Linked DNA regions of Drosophila melanogaster. The protein of the gene in region 1 interacts with the protein of each later gene in a pairwise test. Each region holds a gene or a part of one and is shown in the gene's direction. Other genes may lie near its edges. The genes, in order: mRpS26, Pmi, CG17739 and e(r).

The links.
Region 2: the proteins of mRpS26 (region 1) and Pmi interact in a two-hybrid assay, tested with the Drosophila melanogaster proteins (one large-scale study listed by BioGRID).
Region 3: the proteins of mRpS26 (region 1) and CG17739 interact in a two-hybrid assay, tested with the Drosophila melanogaster proteins (one large-scale study listed by BioGRID).
Region 4: the proteins of mRpS26 (region 1) and e(r) interact in a two-hybrid assay, tested with the Drosophila melanogaster proteins (one large-scale study listed by BioGRID).

The regions. Positions count from the first base shown.
Region 1 is NT_037436.4:18,104,893-18,108,044, forward strand, and holds mRpS26 (mitochondrial ribosomal protein S26), read left to right. Parts: upstream 1-1,686; 5' UTR 1,687-1,769; coding exon 1,770-1,978; intron 1,979-2,074; coding exon 2,075-2,543; 3' UTR 2,544-2,607; downstream 2,608-3,152. Other genes in the region: Polr3D (RNA polymerase III subunit D), read right to left, coding at 3,070-3,152.
Region 2 is NT_037436.4:5,778,288-5,785,230, forward strand, and holds Pmi (Pmi), read left to right. Parts: upstream 1-1,763; 5' UTR 1,764-1,823; coding exon 1,824-1,846; exon of another isoform or gene 1,847-2,096; coding exon 2,097-2,245; intron 2,246-2,300; exon of another isoform or gene 2,301-2,302; coding exon 2,303-2,487; exon of another isoform or gene 2,488-2,549; coding exon 2,550-2,710; coding exon of another isoform or gene 2,711-2,714; exon of another isoform or gene 2,715-3,263; coding exon 3,264-3,294; 3' UTR 3,295-3,404; coding exon of another isoform or gene 3,405-3,435; exon of another isoform or gene 3,436-3,543; coding exon of another isoform or gene 3,544-4,021; intron 4,022-4,337; exon of another isoform or gene 4,338-4,383; coding exon of another isoform or gene 4,384-4,562; intron 4,563-4,629; coding exon of another isoform or gene 4,630-4,956; 3' UTR 4,957-5,193; coding exon of another isoform or gene 5,194-6,168; 3' UTR 6,169-6,398; downstream 6,399-6,943. Other genes in the region: Myt1, read right to left, coding at 1-35, 92-237, 300-1,254; PGRP-LD (peptidoglycan recognition protein LD), read left to right, coding at 3,544-4,021, 4,384-4,562, 4,630-4,956; Cralbp (cellular retinaldehyde binding protein), read right to left, coding at 5,194-6,168. UniProt on the Drosophila melanogaster protein: Plays a role in mitochondrial morphogenesis.
Region 3 is NT_033778.4:12,304,987-12,310,933, forward strand, and holds CG17739 (uncharacterized protein), read left to right. Parts: upstream 1-1,541; 5' UTR 1,542-1,567; intron 1,568-2,292; 5' UTR 2,293-2,301; coding exon 2,302-2,479; intron 2,480-2,572; coding exon 2,573-2,961; intron 2,962-3,014; coding exon 3,015-3,476; intron 3,477-3,532; coding exon 3,533-3,704; intron 3,705-3,768; coding exon 3,769-3,890; intron 3,891-3,954; coding exon 3,955-5,253; 3' UTR 5,254-5,426; downstream 5,427-5,947. Other genes in the region: salto, read right to left, coding at 1-139, 234-485, 543-885, 945-1,012, 1,076-1,112; CG30203 (uncharacterized protein), read left to right, coding at 5,739-5,904.
Region 4 is NC_004354.4:8,903,633-8,908,282, reverse strand, and holds e(r) (enhancer of rudimentary), read left to right. Parts: upstream 1-2,034; 5' UTR 2,035-2,174; intron 2,175-2,292; exon of another isoform or gene 2,293-2,514; intron 2,515-2,694; exon of another isoform or gene 2,695-2,778; intron 2,779-2,898; 5' UTR 2,899-2,904; coding exon 2,905-3,219; 3' UTR 3,220-4,139; downstream 4,140-4,650.

The DNA.
Region 1 (3,152 bases):
TTGGTGGGAAAATAAGTTGTGTAGCGGGAATTTACTGGCTTAAATAAGTTAAGCTCACAATTTGATAGGTAATTTCAAACTATCACAGAAGCTAACCTAAATAGTTGGGAATATTAAGTATTTATATTGAAATAAAGGGAATTAGATTAGTACATTGTCGTTATCATCCAACAACTTTGCATTCTTTCTGTATTAATCTTGTTTAAATCACGTTTTTAGATATAAAATCTTATCTTAAATGCTGGAGAATGTGAAAGTAAACAGATTGAAAAAGTTGCATAAGATAAACATTCCAACGATTAGAGAGCAGTAAACTTTTAATCGTACAGTTAAGGTACACTAATTAAATTATAAGAAAAGAAGATGTGGCATTTTAAGGCACTAAGTTTTAAAAAGGAAAGTCTACATTACCCATTTTAGTTATTTAATTAAAAGAGAACAATAGAACCCCTGTTTCGTGCAGTTCAAGCAATTGAACAAATTCGATATGCAAAATTGATCGCCTTATAAGAATTTCCAGCTACGAAGCGATCCAATTCGATTCGATTCGATTCTGTGCGTGGTAAGCGGTTGGGATACATGAGACACACATATGAGACAATATTTACAGTCCAACCAGTGCGAATTGCCATTCCAATCAGAGGTAAACAAAAATCAAAAGCCAATGTGAAAAAAAATGCCAACAAACCTGTACGAGTTGTTCGCTGCCGCTGCGCTGCTGAAGCTCTGCTCCCGCCGACGTCTGCGTCGAGAACTTCGGCTTTAAAGCTCTCAGATGGAGTTTTTGTTGTTGTTCTTGCTGCTGCTGCCTTTTTGCATGTGCAAATCGAAAGAGAGCGAGAGAGAGAGGGAGCTATGGAGCTGTGGAGCCCACCAATACTCGGGCTTTTTGGACAGGTAAGCGAAACACGTCGCAAAGAGCAGATGAATAAGAAGAAGACGCAGTAATGAATGATCGTCGCTTTAACTTTTCGCTTGCATCGGTATGCGTGTGTGCATTTCTGGGAGTTAACTTTTAACACTTTTAGCCTTGGCAAGAGATATATACAATATGCACTTTCCACACTGCTTCTAACTGACTTAGCTTTTCAATAACGCACACTATTTTTTTAAACACGAACACACACACACTTTCAAGGCGCGCCGGCTGCGCAAGCCACTTTTGTTTTAAGTTAGCCCACGTACAAGAGGCGAAACAGCGAAGTTCCGTAGCTCGGATTTTAATGCGGCCAGCGCGGCGATATATCGTCGACTGAGTGAGCAGTTACTTTTCGTACCTTCCCGTCAAGTTCACCTGGCCAAAAGCTTTTAAGCCCGAGCTGAGCGCAGCGCAATTGTGAGAAACGCACTAGTGCGTTGGAAGTTTGGCTATTTTCACAACAGATCTGTCTGGACTTCAAAGCTTGTATCTTTGGACAAATAAAAAACATTCATAACCTGCGCAATTTAATTGCAAAAACTTGTTAGCAACGCAAAATTAAGCTGTACCTAAAAATATATCTATGTAGCTGAGTATATAATTATATTTTAATATGAATATGTACGACAATAAATTTAGTAAGTTGACAACCAAATTACTATTGCCTTTCTATCTGAATTTGATTTGTTAAGATTGATTTATTCCTTGATTCTTCGATTTTCCATATTGGTCATCACTGACGGAACCAGCAATCGAACTGCGCGGAACCAGTTCACCGACAACAGAGTTGCACAACAGTTCAGCAGCGGCAAAGTAAAAATTACATTTTGTTAATTAAACTGCTTTTATAATGCTGCGAGCGGGATGCCAGCTGCTGACGCAGTCCACCCTGCCCACCGGGAAGACGGTCGGAAATAGTTTCGCCCTCGAGTTCGTCCGCTGGCGCAGGAAACCGCGATGGCTGCCGGTGGCCAAGAGCAAGATGTTCCGCGTGCCTGAACGCAAGAAGCAGTCGGAGGAGGAGCGCACGGAGCTCATGAGGCTACACAACCAGTACAAGTGCGTGCACCAGCGCCAGATTCTGTCTCTGGTCAAAGATAATTTGTAATCGGTTTCAAAAGACGTTATACAAAACAATCTACGCCTTGATTTCAGAACGCAGCTTCGCTCAGTGCGTCAGTTTCTAAGGGAGGAAGTCGTCCGCCACGAGGAAACATCCACAGCAGATCACATCGTGCTCACTCCCGAGCAGGAGGAGGCCGAGTTCCAGAAATGCCTGGATGCCAATGCTGCCTGGAACGCTGCCATAGCCAAGGAGCGTGATCAGCGATTGGCCAAGAAGCGTGAGGAAAAGGTGGCCTATATTCAGGAGCGATTGGAGGCACAACAGCTGCGCGAGGAGGAGCGCAAGGAGCAGGCCAACCAGCGGGTGCTGCTCGAGATTGAGCGTTCCAAGAACTATATCACTAGGGAAAACTTGGATGCAGCCATTGAGACAGCGTTGGCCAATCCCGTGGACCACAATTTCGCCATCGATATGGCCGGTAATCTTTACCACGGACGAAGCACCTCTCAGCTCCCGGACGCCACTCCCGAACCCAACCAGCAAGTTTTGAGTAATTAATTAATGCAGTGTCTTAGTTTGTTGTTACATTAAAATGCTTTTTATAGGTTTCTAACCAAAGTTGAAAGTCCGTGTTTTTTTTTATTTTTCTGCACAATAAACAACACACTTAAGTATATTTGATTTGCGCAAAAGAATAGGAATTGGATAACCTAGCTATTGTAAAGCGATTTGCTAGAACTAGAATACTTTTCAAATTTTAAGACCGTATTTGAAATTATAATAATCACTTAATTTGAACATATAATATATCAACAATCCATTAACCTAAAAATTAATCTTGGGTCATTGCATTAAGTATTGATGGCTTAATTTACGTTACATATCCCCAAGTTCCAAGCCCATCTTTCTTGGAGTCTCTTTTATGTTCCATATTCGAGTACAATTGTTAATAACCTTTTGAAAAGCATTTGTATTATAAAAATTTCTATATTTAACTTTTATATACGGCATTTAGAATAGGAATAACTTAAGCTTAGGCGCAGCCTATTTACTATATTACATATCTACCATGGGGAAGTGGGTGCTACGTGCCCGGTACTGGATTCGTTCGCTTGGATGCCGCATCCTGCTGCTGGAAAAGGTGCACCCAATCTGGAGTGGCCTTTA
Region 2 (6,943 bases), about 12 Mb from region 1:
CAAACGGCGCGGCGAGATCGCCTAAAACTACGCGACTGCAAGTTGTCAAGGGTTAAGATTGATTCTCAAAGATGTGCTTGGGAATGCTTACCAGCATGCTGAAGTTCATCAGCGACTTGCGCTTCTTTTGCAGGTACTGCAGCTTGGGATGTGAGAGTAGCTGCTCGGCCGTCGGCCTCTGCGCAGGATCGGGCTTCATCATGGACTTAATTACCGACTGCAGCTCCAGTGATATTTCTGTGCGAAGAGAAAGGCTTTAGCAACCTGCCATTTAAGTAGGCAGCTAGTTCGCAACTCACTGTTTATGAACTCCTCGGGCAGAATGCCGTGCCTCAGTTCGTGCCACAGTGGGCCGTTGGAAGGAAGATCCATGTAGCATGCCAGCTCTAGCATGGCAATGCCCAGACTGAAGATGTCCGCAGCCTTGGAGAAGTGACCCTGCAGGATCTCTGGAGCCATATACCTCGAATCTCCCTCCGTGGCGTGATGGCTGTTGGCCCTGTCCACATCGATGACCAGTCCAAAGTCTGCCAGCTTGCACGTCTCGTCGTCCTCGCCGATCAGAACGTTGTCCAGTTTAATGTCCAGATGGATGAGATTCCGGTCGTGCAGCGACTTGAGACCCCGCAGCAGATCCAGCAGGATGTGCCAGATGCGCTCCTCCGGTATCCTTTGGCAGCGCAGCAAGTACTGCTCCAGACTTTCGCGGCACAGCTCCATTTGCATGTACAGTCGGTCGTACTGCTCCCAGGCGCGGATGAACCGGATGCAGTTCTCATGGCCGGAGAACTCCTCGTAGCGCCGCACCTCTTCCAGCCGCTCTGCGCGGTACTGTTCGCCGCGGAACAGTTGCTTGGAGATCTTGACGGCATATAACTGGCCGTCGGAGCGATCGCGCACCTGGAATACCTCGCCGAAGGATCCTTCGCCCAGTTTGGCCAGCCTTTCGAAGCACTGCTCGAAGTGTGACAGGGAGAGGGTGCTCAGCTCGGCCTGGACTGGTGACGAGGGCAGCGTACTGGAATCCGAACATCCGGCGTCCCGGAAGGAGATCGCGTGCGCGATCTGGGAACTGTTGGTGCTACAGGAGCCCAGCGATTGGCTTCGGTTCAGATTGTTGTTGTCCACGGCGACGTAGCCACGCGTCTTGTACTTGGGCGGCCGGAAGCGATTGCTGTTCTCCCCATTGCACTGTTTGTGTCTGTGTTTGTCGTCGTGCAATTCCGGGAGGGGCAGGCGATGATGCTTTTCCATTTTCAATTTTGGGTGTCTTTTCTTATGAGTGGGCGAGTGTGACCATATCGGACAGCCGGCGAAATCCTGGCTTCTTCGCTTGGGACAATAAGAGCCGGCTAATTCATTTAACACATGTATCTTATATTTTTGATCTTTATTGGGAGTATAATTATTGATTTCAATTAAGTTAAGCTCCTATAATCGTATACAGATTTTACATGATTTGCCTCTTAAATGCCTCAATTATCGTAAATAGAGATGGGAGAGTTGAGTAGTTGGAAGAACAATAGAAATACTGAAATATTTTTAAAAACTTTAATCTAATCTAATTGTCTTTATGAATATAGGTAAATAAGCAAATAAATTGCTAAATAGTGGAATTAAGCCTTTATATATAGGCCGCTCTTTAAAGGAGAATGGTATTTGCGAATACGATATAATTCAAAAGTGCCGCCCAACTGCGGTATTTTTTTGGAAGATTGCTATTTGCAGTATTATGCCCTTAGGTACCTGGTATATTTTAACGGTCCAGCTGCGGCCGCACTGAGTTTATGAACAACATAGAAAACAACAAATTTATTAGCAAAATGGTTAGCAGAAATATAGAAAGGTAAATACGGCGCCTAGTTACGTGAATGCAGTGGGATTACGCAACACATTCCACCTGGGTGCAGCCAAATCCCAGTTCCCAAGTGCACCTGCCCTGGTTATGCAATTTACTAGGCGGCTTCTTCATTTATCTCGTCTGCACAATGGCTTCTCTGCTTCGGTTGTTCTGAGCGCTTGATCTTGACCTTAACCTTGAGTTCCACATCAAGATAACCATGATTGATTCGTGTATTGTTGTTCTAATTGTGCAGCACGAGTAAGGTGCCCACTTTCCATGTCATCCGCGAGGTCTACGACAGCTCCAATGCCCATGAAAGATTCGAGGCTGAGCTGGACAAGGCGCTGGAAGCCAAGTTGGACTTCATCGTTATAGAGCCGCCTCGGCTGGGCGACGAAACTGGTAAGCACTTGGAAGTGCTTCCTTTTAAAGCACAGTATTAATTTCATATCTCCACAGGTCGTTGGATTTGGGTGGGCAATTGCCTGCACAAGACGGCGGTGGCCACTGGAGTGGTTTCCCTGGTGGCCAGCTTGCTGTGGCGGGATCGCCCCATCATTGCAGCTCCCGCTTGTGCACTCTCGATTTTTTGCACAGGACTGTACACGGTTTCCTGGAACTACGATCCATGTTGTCAATATCAGGTATGAAAGGAAAAGTTCTAGATATCCAAGATTGAGAAGCTCACTTTGGTTGTGTTTTTCAGGTGGAAAATAATGACACCGTGTTGGAGAAACTGCCACTGACAGATGTCTCCTCGCCTGTGATTTTGGGCTACTCGCCCAACTCAAAAACCAAATACTTGCACCGTAGCGTATCCTTGCTCTCGGCTGCCCTGTGCGCCTGGCAGATTTGGAGGTCCTACAAGTAAGGGATTTGCAGGAGCTCTGAAATGTCCAGGTGCTGGATTAGGCCTGTCCCCTGTCTCGCGGACGCGTAATACCTAATAAGTTAAGTTTAGGCACATAGGCGAATGCATTTCTTTTAGATTTTCGAACGATTTTAACACAATGTATTGTCTTTCGTGAAACTTTTAAATGTTCCCATAAACCAGTGTCCATGTCCAGTGTTCCCGTGGCTGCCACTTGCACTGGCTAGCATGCTCATAACTTATTACGGTCCCCAAGCCCAAGTTAGTCTTAAGGGAGGAGCAGCCTCTGCACTGTAAATTAAGCAAAGCCAACCTCTGTGTATAAAGCGAAACCCATTTATGATTGTTATTAGAGTCTAGTTGAAGATATCAGCAAACGAAAGTCAAGTAAACGCGATGCGAATGTTACTCCCGGCTTTAAAGTTACTCCATAGCTAAGAGAGTCTAAGAGTGAGTGCGATAAGAGACCCCTTCGAAATTCGTAGCTGATGATTTAATGGAAATGTTGTGCTTCATGCGGGCTGGTTCTCTCCCTTGTTCTCGTCTCAGTCGTTTTGTGCATTCTGCTGGCAGTGGTTGACAGCGGCGACTCCGATCGATCGAGTGGTGTGTTCCAGTGCGATCCGGTAAGGAGCTGACCCACTCACAGCACCACCTTGATGCCGAGGCTGCAGCCAGAGCGGTCTAGCCATGGACTCCAGCCACATAGCCGTGCGAGTGGGTAAGTCCGACGATAGATAAGCCCTTGTCTTGATAAGATATAGTTAAATGGGTGAGATATACGAATGCGTGCATCTCGGCTGGATATCCCAGCTCAGTTAGTGGCAAGATGCCGATCTTTGTGAGCGCCTACAGTCTGCGTGCCATCAGCAAATACTATGCCCACCAAGATCAGAGTGGCCTGGACAAACTGTGCCACTTGACTAATCATCTGGTCGCCTTTATCTTGGCTAAACTCCATAATTTGTTGTTTGCTCTATATTTCGCTACGATAGCACGTCGTAGTCCCTCGCCGGCCGCCGTCTCTCAGTCGTCGTACGGCAGCCTGGGTTCCAGCCAAGATATACACATTCGAGTGGACAAGGAAGGCGTTGCAAGCGAATCCACTCCCTTGCTGGCAGCTGCTCAGCGGTCCATCAAGACGTCCTCATCCCTCACAGCCTCAGTCTCAGCCTCCTCCACGACGCCTTCGAATTGCCGAAGGAACCCGACGCTCCACGAAGACTGCTTCAATTGGCGCTCGGTGGGACTGCTGGTCATGTGTGCATCCGCCTTGGCACTGGCCGCCTATTTGCTCTGGAGACAAAGTGAGTTTGCCCGCTGATGGTGGACGTGCACGAGTACGTGCTCAAATCGTTATTGTTACATATATGCATAATAAATAAATCTCAATTAGCTGTGAGTTATGATAAGCTGCTCATGTGCGTTTTGATGGGCAGGCGAAAGTATTCAAAGAAAAATCGATCTATACTCATAATATAATGTATCTGGCATTAAATTTGTATAGTAAAACATTTTAAAGCCATCCCTCATTTTTTTTTTTTGTTTAACTTAAGATTCGTTTTATTTTTCGTATGCATGCATATGACTCATTGTTAAATTTTTCTAAATTCGCCTTTATAGGTGGACAAAGCCACTTAATGACTGAATCACTTTGCACTGCTTGCAGCCCAAACGCCGGACTTTGGCTATCGACTCAGTATCGTGGGTCATGGCATATGGTCGGATATGGAACTTCAGGGTCGGGGAACTCTTTTCGATCCGATCGGTGTCGGCACAGTGATTTTTACCCACACTGGAAGCAATGAATGCCACGATGATTGCCCGGATGTATTGCATAAGCTGGAAGTGAGTTAATCGGACATAAGTATGTGTAGTACATTGTAATCAAAGCTAAATTCATTCATCTCCTTAGAGGTCGCATGTGGGGGAGCTGCCCTACAACTTTCTGGTCGCCGGTGATTGTCAGGTTTTCGAGGCACAAGGATGGCACTATCGGAGCCAGTATCCAAGGGATCTAAATGGAATAGACTCGTTGGTGATGGCCTTTGTGGGTAACTTCAGCGGCAGACCACCCATCGATTGCCAGTTGATGGCCGCCCAGGCTCTGATCCTTGAGTCTTTAAAGCGTCGGATTCTGCAGCCAATTTACCAACTCTTCGTGTTGGGCAGCTATACGGACGCACTGCAGCGGGAACTGAGGCACTGGCCGCACTACGCGAGCCACCAAACGTCCAAGTGAAGCAACAAAGAGATGATTCCAAATTATTCCTCTCGTTTATTGTACGCCAAACACAAACACAGTATACAAAGAAGCGCAGGATGAGTAAAGCGGTTGCCACCGATAAGCGAATCAGGGATCCCCAGGATCGGGCGCTGGCCAGGATCGGGGGACCGGCGAAGCGTTGCGCATTGGGTTAATTGATTGGATGTTGCCTAAGACTAAGGACTATAAACTTAAACTACAACTGGCGATCGGTTAGTCGAACTCCAGTTTCCGAAAGCTACCCTCGATGGACTCGATTTGTGAAACGAAGTTGGGTCCGCCGGTGGAGGCCTTTCCGGCATTGAAGCTGCTGCGCCGCTGGATGCCGCGATCGGAGCGCAGTATGCTCTTGTCCAGACCGAGAATCAGGTCGCGCTTGGTCGCCAGCTCCTGCTTCCACAGCTCGATCATCTCGCGCATGGGCACCTTGCCACCCATTTCCAGCGGCAGACAGCCCTGGTCCACGCTCTTCATCAGCTCCTTCTCGCTGCCGTAGATGATCAGGCGGTTCTTCATCTTGGAACTGACGCGGTTCTTCACGAAATCAATAAGCCACTTGAGTGTGGATGGTACATTGATCAGGTGGATCTCCTTGTGACGCATGGGCAGCGATTGCTCACCCCACTTGAAGATGCGGGCAAACTCCGTGGGATTCCAGTTGGTCACATGCGCCGTGGTCACGCCGGCGAAGTCGCCCACATGCGTTAGCCCAGTGATCTGTGTTTCCTGATCCTCCATCAAGCACTCGTAGGTGAGGAAGTGCGCCTTGGCCTGGTCGCAGCTTGTGTGGATCTTCGGATTTAGCCCCTTGGCATTGATGACCACCACGCGGCGACCGTGCTTGTCACGCTGTGGCACCGCAAATATGTATCCCTGATCGATGAGGTCGCCGAGACGCGGCTCCAGATAGTCCAGCTGGGTGCTCATGTGCGGGAACGTCCTCCTGATGTTCAGGTACTTGAGCAGCGTCTGCTCGGCCATCGGCACACTGAACTTCTTGGCGCGCAGGAAGCGCAGCAGGAAGGTATCGTCGCATCGCACATTCTGCAGATCCTCGTTCTTGGCCACCCAGTTGCGCAGCTGCTCCAGCGACTGCTCCCGCGTGCATCGATCCTCGCGCAGCTCCCGCTTGGCGATCTTCAGCAGCGCCTCTGGCAGGCCTGTCGTCTCCCCCTGATCCTGCACCATATTCTGCTTTCCTTCTTCGCTGGAAGATCTGCGATTCGTTGGTTCTGCTCTGTGGTCACGCGATTGGCATGGACTGCGGTCACTACAAAGAATGATAAGAAGTCCACGGATTAGTCGGGTTTTTTCTCAAATCCACATTGTATGATTAATATTTATACTATATATATGTATATGTTCTTAAAGAGATTGAATTTACTTACTTACATACTTGTAAAATATATAATTAAATTAAATAAGAACAACTTTTCATCTTGACTTACATAGAAAGCTTCAATATACTGAATCTACAACCAAGTTAGGCTCCAACTTCTTTATAAAAAGTGACGAATATCAAGTTTGAAGCCTTTGCTTTAATCAAAACAAAAAAACTCACTAGGCAAACGACGAAACTTATTGTTTAATAATTCTGCATATATGTATTTATCAATGAGATTTATTAGTGGTCTTCCCATTGAAATTGGTTCAAGGTCCCAGTGATCTCAAGGCGAACGCCACCGGATCACGGATCGTTGTAATTTGCAAATATTTGCTAATTAAAACTCGCGTATGAGACGCGTTTTTGTTAAAACAGAGCTGCGAAAGCGACGAAATAAAAAAAAAAACTTATAATTTATTCACTTCTTTGTTGTTAGGGGAACCATAAAGCGACCACCAAATGCCATTATGGTCGCATATAAAACATGTATGGATGGCAAAAAGACTGAAAAAGAAACCAGGCGAATTGGTTCAAGTTCAAAACTGTTTACTGAAAGCGGGTCAAAAAGAAATATATGTA
Region 3 (5,947 bases), on another chromosome or scaffold:
TGAGTTTCCTCACGCTTTTCACTAGCCTCGAGATCATTTTTAGCCCTCTGAATTCTTGGTATATGGTCGTAGATTAACAAAACCCCCTGATCTACAATCGCACGACACCTGGTTTTCAAGTCATTCATACTTTCGGCGGCTAGAAAATAAAAGTATGCAATTGTAAGCGAAAGAAGGATAATTCAAGGATAACAATTCATTCAATCGAAGACGTAAAATCAAAACGAACTTACGAATACTCTTGGGCAATCGAAGTAGATCATCATGGTGGACCACAAGCTTGCATTCATCGTTTACAGTCAGACCCACAAACTTGAAGACCCCTTGATTCCGGAGCTCCGAACCCATTAACCGGATCTTGTGCATAAACTCGGACTGCAGGTTCTCCAGTTTTTTTTTCTGCGTATCAAAGACCCGCATCCGGTTCATCTCCAGGACACGGCGATGCGACATCTTTTCAGGCTTCTTTACATTTTGATAAGGTTCTGTGGACGGCAATAATCAGAGAATTGGACCACGTTTCAAATATTCGCGATACCCACCGCATGTCGTTGACTTAACCAATTGTGCTGACTGGGCATGCGTCTTTATGGGAACCACGTTCCGCTTGGGGGGATTCAACTCATCGATATCAGTTTTCCGATCGGGCTCAACTACTTTATGCTCGGGCTCGACCCGTCGATTGGGCAACGAATACGTACTGACACACGGGCGCGCTTTCGTCGAAGAAGTAACCCGTTCCAGAGAAGTTTTTCGCGAATGGATAGACGACCGACTCGCTCCACGCCTATTTGGAATGTGACTGAGCCTACCTTTGTTTGGGCTTCCGTCGCCATTCTGGGTGGGAGGAGTAGAGAAGACGCCACCACAAGAAGAAGTGCGAGACTGGGACGGGGATGTAAAGCATTTGAAAAAACTAAACCCTTTTCTTCTATCTCACTCACCCATGTAGCTTTGTCTGAGGCTTGCTTTTCCGCCTTTCCAGCTGTCCTCAGCAAGAATGCTTTGTTACCTAACAAGGATAACGAGCATTTGAAGCACACATTCGTATAGCGTTCAAGGTACATGTACTTACTACGAACTGAACGCGGCGTCACGCTGGAAGAATTCATATCTAAAGTTTCGGAAATCAACGCTTTTTTGTAAACGATTTTTGTGTTCAAAATGAGGAAAAAATAGTATAGAAAATTTGTTTCTAAATATTTCCAGTTGAACTACGTCTAGTGTAAATGGTACAAAAATGCTTTCTGACCAATCCAAACGAGGTGGTTCGTGGAAGTAACATGAATTCAAACTCAGAGCACACTTGTTCAGTTCCAATGTACCCGGTGTTTTTGGGGTCTGTTTGTTTAGAATGAGCGTATGAAAACTAATGGTTTCTATCAACAAATGCGAATCTGCAAAAGAAGCGGAAACTAAGCTAAATGGGAGGGAAAAGTAGAGAGCAGTTTTTCCCTCTCTGAGGTTCTCCATGTAATCCATTCGTCGGTCCCGAATGATGCACATCGTCCATCCAATAATCGACTCGGCGAAATTTGCATTCAGTTGCTGTTCGTGCGTCCACCGAGTAAGTTCTTAGTTCGGATTTCCCTCTAAAAGCATATATTTCGAGATTGTTTCATTTACGATCCATCAATACTGAGTAACAAGAGTATGAAAAAACAATCTGTACCACCTTGCTATTAGTTTATTTTCTCAAAATAACTTAATCAACTGGATTAACATACATGATGTGCTAGTGAAAGTGGGTGCTACAATATAAGTGCAGTACTGAGGTGAAGAAGCCCTAAAAGTGACTTTAATGATTTAGATCCATGGGAAATGGACGTTTGTCACCCCCTTGTATTCGAATTCGCTGTAGACAGTCGGCGCGTTTTTCAATTGAATTTAATCAGTGACGTAGACGGTCTATATAGTACAGACTATATATTGTATATACGCAATGCGATCCGATTTTCAAGGGGTAAACAACCAACAACCCGCCTAGTTCAAGTTCCGCATGGCAATTGAGCTGGCATAATTTGGATCTCAAAGGAAATGGAAAGTGTCTGCGAAAATAGCAATATGCACTATGTGTGACATCACGCAAAGTCATTCAATTGAAGGCTATTTCTACGAATTCAAGTTCAGTTTGAAACTGGAAGTAGGCTCCATTGGTTGCCATTGACATTCGATACCAATGCGGATAATTAAGACAATTAAGTGCTGGCCAGAAATAGTTTTTTCCCCCACAACCACGTGGCTGCATCAAATGATTGTAAATTTGTATTCCCACTCAATTTTGCATTGCAGCTCTTTGAAATGAAAGCTCTGGAAGGTTTCACTATTCTTCTCGCATTAGTGGGTGTTATTCCCCGGATCGAGGGCTGCATTAGGGTCCCACCGGGAGTCACAGCAGCCAAGTCACCGGTGGATGATAACTATGTGCTGTCCGTAAACGGAAATACGCAGAGTTATGTGCCCGGTCAAAGGTATAATGGTGAGTGCATTAAATTAAGCATTAAATTAAATTAAATTTACAAATTTCTAGATTTTTCTTTCAATTCTCTAATCTTTCGCTGCTCGTTTTCAGTTAGCCTCAGTGCATTTTCTGGCTTGTCCTTCATTAGCTTTATGCTGGCCCTGGATTTGGAGAGTGGTGACGGCGATGGTGACGCCAATGCCCTGGGCACCTGGGAGATCGCCGATCTCGCCGAGACCCGTTTCAGTCCGCGCTGCCCAAATCTTGTCGAGAATACCAACACGAACGTGAAGACACGCGTGGATGTGTTCTGGGTGGCTCCATCGAGTCCGGGACAGGGCTGCATCCTGCTGAGGGCTACGGTGATGCAGCATCGAGATGTGTGGTTCATGGATGATGGCTTCCTTACCAAGCGTATGTGCGAGGAGGAGGTGGACGACATTGACACCCAGCCCAGCATCGTGGATCCGTGCTGTGCCTGTGACGAGGCCAAATATGAGGTGGGACTCTTTTAACTCATTATTGAAATGGTATTAACACCTCCTTACTTCAGCTTACCTTCGAAGGCAAGTGGTCGCGTCACACACATCCCAAGGACTTTCCAGCGAATAGCTGGCGCACCAGATTCAGCGATATCATTGGTGCCTCGCACACACTGGACTACAGATTCTGGCAGTATGGAGAGCTGGCCAGCGAGGGGCTGCGTGAGGTGGCGGAGCATGGCTCCACAAGGACCTTGGAGAGTGAGCTGAAGGATCAGAGCGAACACATTCGCACGATCATCAAGGCAAGGGGCATTGCCTATCCGAATGTTACGGGCAAAACATTTGCCGTTTTTCGCGTCGACTCCAACCACCATTTGATCTCCCTCGTATCAATGGTGGATCCCTCTCCAGACTGGATCGTTGGTGTATCCGGCCTCGAGCTATGTCTGCCCAACTGTTCCTGGGTGGAGAACAAGGTGCACAACCTATATCCCTGGGATGCGGGCACCGATAGTGGTCCATCATATATGGTAAGACGATTTCCATGATTTAGTCTTCAGTAGAGTCAATCACGAATACTTTTCAGTCCGCTGACCAGCCACAGGTGCCTCCAGATGTTGTGCGCCGCATCAAATCAAATTTCCCCAACGATCCCCGTTCGCCCTTTTATGATCCCACTGGTGCCCAGATGAAGCCATTGGCCACCCTGCACATCAATCGAAGACGACTCTACGAAAAGAACTGCGAGTCCTCCGATTGTAAGTTAAATGCAACCATATATTGATGTTGTGAATATACATACTATATACTTTAATCCTGTAGCGGAACAGGTACCGCCGGAGTGCGCCACAAACTCGTGGTCCAGATGGGATGAATGCACCACAAAGTGCGGTCCCGGCAAGCAATACAGAATCCGAGAGTTCAAGAACCCTGCATTGGCTTCGGTAATTAAGACGACATATATAATTTGGATCCCATACTATATATACATTTTGACACCTACCTTAGCGTCATCGTTGCAACAATGCCCTGCGTGAGGAGAAGAACTGCGTGGGACACAAGTGCGCTGGCTTCAATGAGGAGACAGCTGAAGGCGGCGAGCCGGAGGTGGCGCCATCACCAGGTAGCAGCGACGATCCCCAGTGCGGTCTGTCTGACTGGTCGGAGTGGTCTTCGTGCACCGTGACTTGTGGAACCGGCGAAATGACCCGATCCCGACACTATCTAAACAAGAAGGCCAAGAAGAAGTGCCAGAAGGCAAGCAGGGCGCGTCTGCATGAGACCAAGATTTGCGAGGCAATGGAATGCGGTGGGGACATCGAGAACGAAGGTGGTGCTGGGGAACCGGAGGAGGAACAGGCCGGTGGCGACGGAGGTGGATCCGCTGAGAAACGCTCCATATTCCGCAACTTCGAGAGTTACAGTCAGCATCGGGAGGATTACATACCACCGGTTTGCGGGGTCACTCCATGGTCGGATTTCTCGCCGTGCATGGGGCCATGCGGTGGACATGGAAAGCGGCAACGTATTCGCAAGGTGTGGAATAACAACCAGGTGTACGGAGTAACGGATCCCAATGATGACGGCCAGGATCCCTGTCGACACATCAAGCTGCACGAGGAGGTGAACTGCACCAATCCTAGCTGCGATACCATTGTTCCCGGCTTCTGCTACGACGAGCTGACCGACAGTCCGTGTCGGGATAACGATGTGGCCAACTTCTGGTACTACGACCATGTGAGTGACCAGTGTGCCATCTATTGGTCGGATCGTTGTGATACAAATCGCAACAAATTCAAGTCGAAGGAGGAGTGCGAGGAGACATGTCGCCTGCCGCGCCACAAACAGGAACTGCAGCACGATGGCATTCCAGCCATTGATTGTCTCGTCTCTGACTGGGTTTCCCACAGTTGCAACGCCTCCTGCGGCGATGGCTTCCAATTGCGAACGCGTCGGGTGCTCCGTACTCCGAAGTATGGAGGCAAGCCATGTCCCAAGCACCTGGTACGTTTGGATCGCTGCTACCAGCGGTGCGATGACATGTACTCAATCAGTGGACGGGGATTTGGAGAGCGAAGGCATGTGGTAAGAGCTCCGCAACCGGAACCGCAGGACGAGTGTCGCTACTCGGAGTGGTCCGCCTGGACACCATGCACCGCCACGTGTGGCGATAATGCCGTTCGCCAACGAACCCGAACCCTAATGAACACCGATCTGAGCTACAAGTGCAAGGATCGCGTCCGCATGGAAAAGTGCGTGATGATGCCTTGCCAGCTGACCAGCAACGATGATCCAGAGCGGTGGTGAACATACCATTAACTGCTACAAGTATTAGTTCTAATCCAACTATGTAATCATTACCAATGGATATCGTTAAATATATGAAAAATTCCAGACTACCTACACTAGCTCTTCTCGCAACAGATTAAATATGTATTAAAAACAATAAAACAGAATTGTGTTCGCGTGGTAATTCCAATTCCGATTGAGTTTAACCTTGACCCAGTTCCATTAAGCAAACAGTGGCCAGTTTACGAGTGATTTTTCGCCGGGTTGCAAGTTCAAAGAACCCGGGCACAATTCATCAATTGAAAAGCTTGCCATAAAAACAAACCATTCCTAATTGAAGACAACTCAATCAAGATGCCATAAGCTGTCAACGCCGAGAGCGCCATTTAAGGGATAATTGATAAATTGGAAATGCTCATCAATTAATGGAGATGGCTAGCCATCAGTTTTGGTCAGTCGCCGTTGAGCCTCGACCCAGTACGGATCGCTAAGATTGAGAAGAGATGCTTCGCCATATCGTGCTCCTCATTCTGCTGTCTTCCGAAGTCAGAGGAGTCTGCAATCGGATACCCCAAGGTGCCAGTGGCCCTCGATCGCCTGTGGATGATAACTTTAAGATCCTTATCGATGGCAATCCAGAGACCTATGTGCCAGAACATCAGTACAATGGTGAGAGTCTCGAGTTGTCCTGAAGCTTTTACTTCAACATTAT
Region 4 (4,650 bases), on another chromosome or scaffold:
GGCGTTGCCTCCTCATCGACGTTGGCAGAGGCAGCGACCTCTGACGTCACGGGGCGGTAAATCAAAGGCTTCACGTTGCGTTCGAAATCGTCGAGGAAAACGACATCGTGGACGGGAATAATGCGGTGATCGGTGACGTTGAAGTGGAGATCGCGAAAGGGGCCGTTGAAGAGGCAGCGCAACGGTGACGTCACCAGCACAGCATCTTCCGGAGGTAACTGTAAAAAATGTACAATATTTGTTGTATTTTAACGTATATCAAACATTTACTGATATAGTTTTATATTAAATCAAATACACCGCAACAAATCTCGTGCAAACATCAGATAAGATATTGATACGATACGATAATTAGTATAATATTTAAACAATGCGCAGTCAGGAGAAATATAGAATGGCTTATCAATTTTAAAATAAAACTAACGGAAACAGTAATATTGTACATATTTCAGTTTCAACTCAAAGCATAAGTTTCTCTGTAGCCAAGACACCATTTGGTAAGTTAAGAAAACTATTAAGTGGACGTTTTTTTTTTTACCTTGATTTTGCCATTGGTCGCCGAGAACATTGAGATTTCGAGATTTCAGCGATAAGAGATGAGCAACAACACAAATCAAATAGAATGCACAAGAAACACAGATACAACACCCACACATGAATGATCGTGCAACGGTGTGCGCAGAACAGTGAAGAGGAAGCAGAGAGACGAAGCAGAGGCGACAAATTGGACACGCGTGCGTCGCGTTGGTTGGATTTTGTGTTTTCTTATTTGACTATTGCCTTTTCGGTGCTACTTTAACGGGTTTCCCCGTTTCACAGCCTTTATCATCTTATTTTCGCAGGGCTTTTTTGCTTTTCAATTTACTGCCTGGGTTTCATTTAACTTCGCTGCTCTTCTACTTCATTCATTATTTGATTTGTTTACGTTGCTATTTCCCAATTTGTTTGCTTCTTTTCACTTCATTTTCTTTCAATTAGGACGCACACAAACACACAGGAAAAAACAAAAAAAAAAAAAGAGAGACACGAACGCCACTTGCACAATTGAAAATAACAACAAATTAATGGGAACGCGCGAAACACGGGCTGCTGCGGCTGCGCCTTCACTTTTCACTAAAACAAAAAGCACGTAAATAATGTTGAGACGAGATTTTGCTTTTTGTTGTTGATTTCTTTGCCGATCGCTCTGCCGCCGCTCGACTGCGCTGCCCGCGACACCGCGCTCTTCCAATTGGTCCAATTGAGATCAAACAGCTGGTGGGCACTCGGATCTTCGATTGCCGCTGTCTGGCAGCACTGGGAACAGTGAGAACAGTGGCCAGACTGCGGAGCTGGCGATGGGCGATAGTTTTGTTTCATTAAAAGTAACTTTTGACTTTATATTAAATACAATACTAAAAAATGTAAAAATATGCTTTTTAATATGCACTTTAAGTGAAAATGATTGTACATTAAGTTTACTTCATAAAGACTTTAATGACCATAATTTGTTGATGGGCGTTAATTTTATTCTAACTTAAATAAACGTAATACCTAATATTTATATGTAATAACAAAATAAAATGAACCTAAATAAATAATGCAATCCACTTTAATTTGACATTATAATTATAATTTTTTTATAAATATATAAAATAAAAATAATAAATAAATAATTTCCGTAGTTATTGTAATGTATTACTATGATGAGTATATGTTAAAAGCTTTAGTTAATTTTATTTAAAAAATCTGAAGACTAAATATGGAATGAATTACGCCAAATGAAATGAAAATATGCATTGAAAAACATGCTTTATACCTAAAGGCGTAATATACATAAAGTGTGCTTTTCAATAAAAAAGTGAATGAACATAATATGGAATCAAATACATATACAAATTGAAATGCAAGTATACATTGATACAATTAAGTATAAAAAATCACAATTGTCATTTAATTTGGTAAATATTATTAAACAATGTATATCAAATAAAAGATGTTAGTATTAATCGATATCTTTCGATTATTTTGTCACGGCGAGGCACGCAGCGAAGCGCTCATCTCTAGCTTCAGCCTCCTCTTCAAAACCCATAGAACTGGCAAAATAAAAAAAAACGAATCAAGCGCTGATTTTACCGAATCTCTTTACTGAATCAGCATATTATCATAGTCCATATAGTCCGGCGTTCGAACGGGTAAGTTGAACACTAAACGGGAGACATGGGAATTATTTAAAATTCGAGAAAAATCGGTGAAAAGGAAGAAAAACAAGTGATTGCATACAGTTAGTTACACACACGCGGCGGCCGTTACTCCTTGTACATGTGTGTGCGTGTCTGTTCGCGCTTCCGAATGTTTGTGTTTTAGTGAAGCGGCATAAGCGTGCATTATCTTGTACAAATGTACGCATTTCTCCATTGCCAACATTCGCTTCACACACAAATTACTCGTTTTCCATGCTGGAAGTGCCATCTTAGTCTATTTCCCAGTTGCAAATTGGAAAATCAAAGAGCGTTCTGCTGGCCAGCATGTGTGGTGCGCGTGTATTGGTGTTGCGGCGAGAGCGCGAGCGAGATGGGGCGATGCGTTGCATGCGGCAACAGCATATCTCTTCCATCTCTTTCGTTTTTGTTCTTTTCCTTTTTTTTTTGTCTTTTTTTTTTTTGCTGACAGCTCTCTATGCTTCTAATAAATATTTATGCACAATTTTTGCAGAGCTGGCGAAGTAAACTTCAACTTCGAGAGTCTCGGAATCTTTCGGACTTTGCTATAGAAAAAACGCTTGTTAAAAAAAAGGATGTAAGTGATGAAGATGAAACGTAATGTAATGAAACGCACACTAGTAACATACATACATACATATCGCTTGAGTACATAGATCACCGCCAATAACATTAATGTTCCATTTTTGCCTTGCAGATCACCATGTCGCACACCATCCTATTGGTACAGCCGGGTGCTCGTCCGGAGACCCGCACTTACTGTGACTACGAGAGCGTCAACGAGTGCATGGAGGGCGTGTGCAAGATCTACGAGGAGCACCTGAAGCGCCGCAATCCAAACACTCCGACCATTACGTATGACATTAGCCAGCTATTCGATTTCATCGACACAATGGTGGACATTAGCTGCATGGTTTACCAGAAGAGCACCAATACCTATGCGCCCTACAATAAGGATTGGATCAAGGAGAAGATCTATGTGCTGCTCCGTCAGGCGGCATTTAGTTCCAATACCTAAAGGGACGGCGATGCGACAAGATACATACATATAAAACCAAATAACACGATGATGCATGCATCAATGCGTGCAACACTAACGACAACAACACGTTGATGTATGCAACAATGCGTGCAATAGCAACTACAACAACAACAACAATACGAGGATACATGCAACAGCGCTTGGAACAGCATCCGCAACGGCCACAACACCATAACACCAATAACACCAACAAGATGAGGAAGAAGAAGAAGATGATGATGGAGTGGTGGGGCATCGATTCCATTGGAGACTTGCTGCTACCGACTAGATCGCCAAATGACAGCAACTTTTTTTTGCAACATAACGCAATGCAAAAAAGGAAAAGGAACACAAAGAGAACGATAAACTGTATAACTTAGAAATGGAAAACTTACTTTAAACGTACTAATATATATATATATATATAAATATATATATAGGCGTATATATATATATATACTGTATATACACCCAACTGACAACTGTGTGTGTTTTTGTGTGTTTCAATGTTTTTTTGTGCGGCAGCCACAGGTGACGGTTGTTCTTATCGATAGCGAACTGTATGTTTGTTTGTTTGTAAAACCGAATGGCAAATTTGCAAGTGTGCATTTTTTTTTTGTATGTTTTGCCGTGTGTGCTAGCTTAAGTCTTTGCAATCTATCGAATAATAAACTAACACATCAGGACACACTGAGCATATATAAACATATTTGTAAACTACTGATTCCCCCCCCCCCCCTTTATCATTTGAACTTAGTTAAACAACAACTTTTAGCCCGCTGATTTTGCACACCGATGGGCTTTGTGGCGTTTTAACGGCTTGTTTTAAGCAAAACAGAACCTTTGGTCGCAGATGCGAAATGACCTTGAGATGCTGGTTGTTGTGTGTGTGGTGAGGGGGGAGGGGTAGGGGTTTGTGGGTTGTACCCCCGCCAGATATTCAATCGGATAACGAACTTGGACCGCCGCTGAATCGCTTGGCCGCACTGCATTGAACTTGGCGTGCGATATTTAATTAGCTCCGCGACAGCATTTTGTTAAATATATATATATATATATATATATATGTATATATGCACATTTAGTGTCGACTTGTGGATGCTGCTTACTAGCGTTAACTAGCAATAAACATAGTGTTTATAGTTTACCCATTATATTTGCTGAATATTAATGATCACTAGATTTCTCATTATTCAGACAAATATATTTGTTTGTGAAAAAAGCATTTGCTACAGCAAACTGTACAGTTTATTACAAAAATATGTATATATATTTTCAAAAAAAAAAAAAAAAGAATTTCTCCTATTTAAAGTAGTTTGCTTGCCACGCAACTCCGCGCTTTTTACAGGGTATGCAATAGCGCTACAGCTGCGTCGAATATGGTGCATAGTTTTTTTTTTTAGAATATTTTTCAAAACTGGTTTTAAA